Linked DNA regions of Macaca mulatta. The main gene of each other region encodes a partner of the protein of the gene in region 2 in a complex. Links are inferred from orthologs where the notes say so. Each region holds a gene or a part of one and is shown on either strand. Other genes may lie near its edges. The genes, in order: SRSF1 and HNRNPH2.

Region 1 (4,316 bases), on a different chromosome or scaffold from region 2:
GCGCAATGGCGCGATCTCGGCTCACTGCAACCTCCACCTCCAGGGTTCTAGCGATTCTCCTGCCTCAGCCTCCCGAGTAGGCTGGATTACAGGCGCCCGCCACCAAGCCCGGCTAATTTTTTTTTTTTCAGTAGAGACGGGATTTCACCATGTTGGCCAGGCTGGTCTCGAACTCCTGACCTCAAGTGATCTGCCGCCTCTACCTCCCAAAGTGCTGGCGTGAGCCACCGCGCCCAGCCTAATTTTAATTTGAATTCATTAGCGACGTTTAAAAATCCCAGGATTTCACATAAAAATCCAGATTGCAGACGTCGAAAAAAAATGTAAAATGTTATCTCCCAATGTCGCAGGCAAATAAGATCACAGTCCTGAATAGCAACCGCGGTCTCTAGTGGACACGGCTCTCATCCATTTCGGTCCATTTTATTACCTGGGAGGACCGGTATTTTCAATTTCAGTAACTTTTAGAGGAAACTTTTGAAAAAAGGACTGCACACACGCACCTTTTCTTCCTTCTCGTTCTTTAAAAGGAAACAACAGAAACAATTCATTCTGCAGGCAATCTGCGCTAGTCCCACGGATAGGCGATTAACAAGAGATAAAGAGGTGTGGGTACCAGAAGCAGTACTGTTACCCCTTCTGGTTGGCGGGTACCACGTTGAAAGGTCGGGGTACGGGCCCACTGCGACTAGCACAAAGAGTGCTGAACTGAGCTATGCAAAGTTCTGACGAGAAGGTGGAATGGTTCTTAATGAAAAGGATTAAGGAATCTAAACCGGTTTCGCTAAATTAGACACATCTGTCTAAGCAGCCACAGCTTGTTCGCAGCAGGGGCGGGAAGACAAACCAACGCCCCAGCTCTCTATTCAGTCACCGGCAACTCAGCTCTGGACTAGACGCACTCTACGAAGATACCCGGGTTTCCGGAGCAACGGCCCGAGCCCTCCCCCTTTAGCCCCGCCTCCGAGTCTCTTTCCCGCCAAAGGCCGTTATCGCCGCAGAGCATGGTGGGACAAGGCTTTAGGCTAGGTTTCACCAAGTCCTTTGAAGGCGCCGAGTTGCTTTCAAAGCTCCTCATTCCTGGGGAAATTGACTATCCTTCAAGACTCGACCTGGATGACTAGCTCCTTTAACGAGAGTTCTTTATTTAACTTTTACCAAACGGCTGCTCACTCTATTCGCAAACCACCCCAAGCGGGGAACGCGGGGGACTTTTTTTCCCCCTTCGTGCGGAGGGTGACGTCGCGCGTGCGTGCGCGTGCGTTGCGCGTATCCCTCGCAGCACCCGTTGCGCTCCCGCGCGTGCGTGTTGGGATCGAATCGCTGTTTCCTTCCGCTTCTCTTCCTCTGTCTCCCCCCCATATCCGTGCGCCGAGCTGATAAAGGCGCCATTTTGGAGGGGCCGCGGGAGACGTGGTGCCGCTGCGGGCTCGCTCTGCGGTGCGCTAGGCTTGGTGGGAAGGCCTGTTCTCGAGTCCGCGCTTTTCGTCACCGCCATGTCGGGAGGTGGTGTGATTCGTGGCCCCGCAGGGAACAACGATTGCCGCATCTACGTGGGTAACTTACCTCCAGACATCCGAACCAAGGACATTGAGGACGTGTTCTACAAATACGGCGCTATCCGCGACATCGACCTCAAGAATCGCCGCGGGGGACCGCCCTTCGCCTTCGTTGAGTTCGAGGACCCGCGGTGAGGCGGCATGGGGCTTGCAGCCTTGAGGAAATAGGTCCGAGTAGTCGGGGAAGGCTCCAAGGCCTTAACATAGAGAACGGGGAAGCGGGGGCTCTTAGAGAGGTTGGGGCGAGACTGTATCGCCCATGCAGGAGTCGAGTAAGGAGCTGAGTTGGTGTGGCTTCTCTGGCGCCTCGCCTTGGACGTCCCCGGAGCCCATTCGCAGGCTGGAGCGGGAAACTGAGGCGCTGAGGGCTGGTGTAGTGGTTGGGAGCCTGGCGTGTTTCTGGGTGGGGGAGGGGCCATTCCTATTATGCGGCGCATGTGGGCTCTTCCACGTTGGGTGCGCATGTGCGGGGGGTTCCCGACTGAGCGAGCTTCTCCTCCTGGTCTTTCTCATGCCTTTTACTTTCTGCGATCCCGCAGAGACGCGGAAGACGCGGTGTATGGTCGCGACGGCTATGATTACGATGGGTACCGTCTGCGGGTGGAGTTTCCTCGAAGCGGCCGTGGAACAGGCCGAGGCGGCGGCGGGGGTGGAGGTGGCGGAGCTCCCCGAGGTCGCTATGGCCCCCCATCCAGGCGGTCTGAAAACAGAGTGGTTGTCTCTGGTGAGTGTACTTGGTTGTGTGGATTGATGTGAAGGGACGGAAGCTACCTAAAATTTTTGTCTTGCATGATCGGTTTAACAATTGCAAATTTTTCATGCTAGGTCTTAAATTGCTTTAGTTTTTGGGTGAATTTAATAAACGAGGATTGCTGCTGTGGTGATTTACCAAATTAGGTTGCGGTACTAGATACGAAGATCCGTTACAAATAATTTTGGACTCTGGATCCCAGAATCTTACCAGCTCTTTACCTGGTATCACTTAAGTACACCTATTAAGTATTTTAAAGTACTCTTTGTTCTAATGTACCTTACCAGCTTAACGTGAAATTTAAGATAATTGATACTAAGAAAAAAAATCACTTTTTCAGGACTGCCTCCAAGTGGAAGTTGGCAGGATTTAAAGGATCACATGCGTGAAGCAGGTGATGTATGTTATGCTGATGTTTACCGAGATGGCACTGGTGTCGTGGAGTTTGTACGGAAAGAAGATATGACCTATGCAGTTCGAAAACTGGATAACACTAAGTTTAGATCTCATGAGGTAGGTTATACGCTTATTCTTTTCTTTGACCAGAATTGGATACAGTGGTCTTAACAGTGGAATTTGAAGGTAAGAATTCAGGCAAGGGTGTCCAAGTAAATTGCCAGATTTCTGGTTGTAGTTGCATTGTATGCATTCAGCATGCCTGAAGATAGATGAAAGCTTAGATCTTTCAATGGAAAGTTCTGTCTATCCAATAGGGAGAAACTGCCTACATCCGGGTTAAAGTTGATGGGCCCAGAAGTCCAAGTTATGGAAGATCTCGATCTCGAAGCCGTAGTCGTAGCAGAAGCCGTAGCAGAAGCAACAGCAGGAGTCGCAGTTACTCCCCAAGGAGAAGCAGAGGATCACCACGCTATTCTCCCCGTCATAGCAGATCTCGCTCTCGTACATAAGATGATTGGTGACACTTTTTGTAGAACCCATGTTGTATACAGTTTTCCTTTATTCAGTACAATCTTTTCATTTTTTAATTCAAACTGTTTTGTTCAGAATGGGCTAAAGTGTTGAATTGCATTCTTGTAATATCCCCTTGCTCCTAACATCTACATTCCCCTCGTGTCTTCGATAAATTGTATTTTAAGTGATGTCATAGACAGGATTGTTTAAATTTAGTTAACTCCATACTCTTCAGACTGTGATATTGTGTAAATGTCTATTCTGCCCTGGTTTGTGTGAACTGGGATGTTGGGGGTGTTTGTGGTTATCTTACCTGGGGAAGTTCTTATGTTTATCTTGCTTTTCATGTGTCTTTCTGTAGACATATCTGAAGAGATGGATTAAGAATGCTTTGGATTAAGGATTGTGGAGCACATTTCAATCATTTTAGGATTGTCAAAAGGAGGATTGAGGAGGATCAGATCAATAATGGAGGCAATGGTATGACTCCAAGTGCTATTGTCACAGATGAAATTGGCAGTATTGACCTTATACTAAAAGGCAGGGGTTAAAAATGATTATATACGTTTTCCTTAAAACACTTGCAAACATTTTATTCAGTTATCTTTAGCTACAATTGCTTTGCTCTTTAAACCTTGGCAATTGTGGCAAAATTATATTGCCCATTTTGTAGCAACTTATTTTGCTCCCTTCCCCCCATTTTTGTTTTAATAGGGACTAATGTGGGAAGAACTGGCTAATTTGTCACAGTGCTTAGTTACAACTGTTAATGTGTGACCTGCTGTTGGTGTACATGTGGGTACAGGGTGTCTTTAAATCCAACAAGATAGAGTATAATATCAATACTGCTAAATCTGCATGTCCTCTGTGTGACTGATAGAGCGTTGCTATTTCATTTTTTTAAGACAAAATGAAAGCAAAATATAGAGTTCCAATGTATTGGTGTAGATAATCTAGTTGGGAATACTTTTAAGTCTCACCTTCCCCTTTAAACTAATATTCATAATTGATTCATATGTTTAAAAGACTTTAATTTACAAATTAAATTGCAAATGGGAGCATTAGATATAGTTTTAGACTTAGGTGGGTAGCAA
Region 2 (3,944 bases):
TTATTTATTCGCTTTCACTTCTTTGGATTTTAGAGAATACTATCTTGGTAAGTGGCTCCAAAAGTAGCTCAATAGTCCTGTAGACATGGTAAGTTTTTTTAAAAAAGAAGAAAATGTTCAACTTTAATATTAATCAAAAAAATACAAATTAAAATTGCAATGAGATATCATTTCTCAACTAACAGACTGGCAAAGATCACAAAGAATAATGTGCATCAATAAGGAGGGCATAAGGGGGAAAATAAAGCACACACTCCAGGTAAAAAGATAAAGTACCAGAATCTTGCTGGTAACACAAATCAGAAGCCTTAAAAATGAGTGTATCTTTGACTCAGCAATCCCATTTCTAGGGATATATCTTAGAAATAATTAATGATATATGCAACAATGAACATATAAAGATGCTAAATATATTGTTTATAATTTTAAAATTAAAAATTTTAATTTTGAGGGAATTATAAAGTCAATCAGCGTGCCCATATGACAGAACATAATAAAAATCAATCAGCACAAGATTTTTTCCAGTTTTTAAAAGGAAGATTTATTTAACAAGTTTCACTTAGTACAATACATCTAAATGGAAATCACAATACAAGGAAAGATTTAAACCAAAGCCTCAGAATTTCATACAAACAACACGACCAAACTTCTAAAGTATTGGTATTACATCTTAAAATTGTCCCGTATCCTTCAAAAAAAAAAAAAAAAAAAAAAAAAAAGTGTACACTCACGTGCCTTACAGGATATTAAACCAAAAAGCTAGAATTAACAAACATGCCAAATGTTTTCACTTTGAATCGTAGACACAGCTCCTATATTTGAGTTTTACAGAAAAGCATGTTTCTCAACATGCATCCGAAGTTTTCAATGTATTTGTGGTATAAGAGCAACATTTAACATAAGTGAAACTGCATTAACCTAAATACGCTTACTGCTTAGGTACACTCCTACAACATAACTAACTTGAGGAAAGCTAAAAATTGTTTTAACAGTTATGGTCAATACTGAACTTTGTTATTATGTCCTAGATGAATGTTTCAGTGTTCAAAATTACTGAGCTTGAAGTTTTAAAATAATCTCAACTTCCACTTTACAGTAAGCATGAATCACAAGCCTGTAATGCAAAACTGTTAAACTTAACTCTTGTTTTCTTAAAAAAGGAGAAAGAAAGATAAAGAAAGAGAAGCTGACCAAGAGTGATCAGAATCAATTATATTTCCCATTTACCAATCATACTGGATATACTAGACATCCCTCCCATTCTATTCAACTCCCACAAATGTACAGCTTTTATATATGGAGTAGCTGTTTGGTGCTCCTTCTCTACCTAAGCAAGGTTTGACTGATAGTCACTGGAATTTTCCTGCAGAACTTGGTCATATCCACTCATACTGCTCTGACCACCATAACCACCTCCATAACCACCACTCAGCTGCTGGCTAGCAGGACCTCCATAACTAGACTGGTTGGATAAGCCCATCCCTCCCATCATTTGGCTACCATAAGCCCCACCACTTGCCCCTGCTGTAGAATTCAAAAAAAGTTCTACATAGCTGTGATCGTAAGCACCCCCACTTGTTCCTGCAGTAGAATTTAAGAAGAGCTCCACATATCTATGTTGCATATTAGCTTTGTCTTTTGCCATAGCTGCCACAGCATCTTCATGAGTAGCAAATTCAACATCTGCCTCACCAGTAACTCTGCCATCGGGTCCAATTTCAATATGTACTCTCATGGGATTAAGAGGTGAGAAGAAATTATAAATATCATTCTCAGTGGCTCTGTAAGGTAACCCCCTCATGTGTACACAGTGCCCTGTGGTGCTCTGGAAACTGGACCCACCATCTCCATATCTATGATCAGACATTCCTGAAAAACAGTAATTGAGGTCTCTTCCAAATCTATCAGACCCAAAGCCATATCCATCATTATAGCCACCATAGTCATCATAGCCTCCATACCCTCCACCGTAGGCACCACGCCTCATCCTTTCAAACCCAGCTCCTCTGCCAATGCTATTATACCCTCTGCCAGCCCCCGGCCTATCATAGGGACCTGGCCGCTGCATAGCCATGAGCTTTCGAGGGGGATCATAGTGGGTTCGAACTTCAGCTCGGCTACTCTTGAAGATCTCAATGTACCTGTGCCCTATTCTTTCCTTGTGTTTCTTTAAGGCCTTCTCAGCTATCTCCTGCGAAGCAAACTGCACAAAGGCTTCCCCTGTGCTTCGCCCCTGAAAGTCCACTGGCAGTGTCATCCCATTTGGCACAATTTCCAACCCTGAAAAGAACTGAACAATCTCTTCCTTGCTACAGCCAAATGGGAGTCCTCTAAGCCGGACGAAGCCATCGTTGGCAGTATCAGGGCTATTCGGACCTGTATGCTTCAACACCCAATCCATTTCAACACTGTTAGACTTGAATACTTCAACGTATCTGTGTCCCATGGTTTCTCTGTCCTTCTTCAAAGCCAATTTCACTTCCTCTTCAGATTCAAGTTCAACAAATGCTTCACCACTTGGTCTGCCTTCTCTGGTGTAGATGAAACGAATACCTGATGTGCCATTTTGGATCTTGCAATCAGAGAAGAAGCGCATCACTTCATCGGCTGAGCAGGACCAGGGTAGGCCCCTGACCTTCACCACGAACCCCTCCCTGCCTTCCGTGCTCAGCATCATGGTGACTGTTGGGCTCTTGGTGGCAAGTTTGGCTCAATGCAATTTTAGTGTAGCTGAAAAAAAAAATTAGAAGACTACTGTCATGGAAAAATGCCCGTGATATAGTAAGATAAAAAAGCAAACTATTAATAGAAAATTCAACTATGCTGACAGCTTTTCTGTAAGATGTCTGTATAAACAAAGAGTTCACCAAATTTTTAACTCATTCATTTTTTAAGTTATTTATTCAATGCCTATTACATGTTGGATACCATTAAAAATTAATAGCAATCGGCCGGGTGTGGTGGCTCACGCCTGTAATCCCAGCACTTTGGGAGGCTGAGGCGGGTGTACCACCTGAGGTCAGTAGTACCACCTGAGGTCAGGCGGGTGTACCACCTAGAGGTCAGAGACCAGCCTGGCCAACATGGTGAAACCCTGTCTCTACTAAAAATACAAAAAATTGGCTGGGCGTGGTGGCAGGCGCCTGTAATCCCAGCTACTTGGGAGGCTGAGGCAGGAAAACCACTTTTATGTACCCAGGAGGTGGAGGTGAGCCGAGATCACGCCACTGCACTCCAGCATGGGCCACCAGAGCGAAACTAAGTCTCAAAAAATAAATAAATAAATAAAATAACATCAACAAATCAGTGGGATAGGTCAACAAATAAAAGATAGCTATATCTGAATATACACACATAAAAAACTTCACTAGATCAAAAGATTAAACAACAATTAAAACATTAAAACACAAACAAAACACAGGTTATATACGTTCTTTATATAATCTCCTTATATACAAATGTATGCAAATCAATAAAATCAGGGAAATATTTGGGCTTCAGAGATAAATGAAAAAAAGACATTATTGGGAATTCACACATTCATTTTAGAAATATTTTTTAGTTGCCATGTCCAATACTCAGCTCTGGCATACAAGAATCAATAAGCCCAGAAAGGGCTTATGATCCTACAGGAGCACCAAATATCATTATTAAAGATGTAAATGCAAATATACATTATACTTGCCATGACCCTCTGGGTGGGGTATAAGCATAGTATCAAGGAGGGACTAGTTGATCAGTTCTATTGGTTGGAGGTCAAATGGTTAAATGAAACAGACTAACCTGCCCAGGGATCCATAAACGATTTTTTAAAATTATGATAAAGCACAAATAGGAGAGGGAAAAGCAAGAGAAAAGGCTGGCAAGGCATAGATCAGATCCCAAAGACTTTTATGCAGTGCTTAGTTAAGACTGCATAAAAAAACTGGAAAAATAACATGGAA

Evidence for each region.
Region 1: HNRNPH2 (region 2) and SRSF1 share a complex: the UniProt entries of both Homo sapiens proteins name them as parts of the ribonucleoprotein complex. The link is inferred for Macaca mulatta from reciprocal best matches to the Homo sapiens genes HNRNPH2 and SRSF1.

The regions. Positions count from the first base shown.
Region 1 is NC_133421.1:51,982,268-51,986,583, forward strand, and holds the start of SRSF1 (serine/arginine-rich splicing factor 1), read left to right. Parts: upstream 1-1,293; 5' UTR 1,294-1,496; coding exon 1,497-1,690; intron 1,691-2,098; coding exon 2,099-2,283; intron 2,284-2,650; coding exon 2,651-2,823; intron 2,824-3,006; exon of another isoform or gene 3,007-3,023; coding exon 3,024-3,218; 3' UTR 3,219-3,583; coding exon of another isoform or gene 3,584-3,622; 3' UTR 3,623-4,316. UniProt on the Homo sapiens protein: Plays a role in preventing exon skipping, ensuring the accuracy of splicing and regulating alternative splicing.
Region 2 is NC_133426.1:108,302,038-108,305,981, reverse strand, and holds the end of HNRNPH2 (heterogeneous nuclear ribonucleoprotein H2), read right to left. Parts: intron 2,752-3,944; exon of another isoform or gene 2,731-2,751; 5' UTR 2,678-2,730; coding exon 1,328-2,677; 3' UTR 511-1,327; downstream 1-510. UniProt on the Homo sapiens protein: This protein is a component of the heterogeneous nuclear ribonucleoprotein (hnRNP) complexes which provide the substrate for the processing events that pre-mRNAs undergo before becoming functional, translatable mRNAs in the cytoplasm. Binds poly(RG).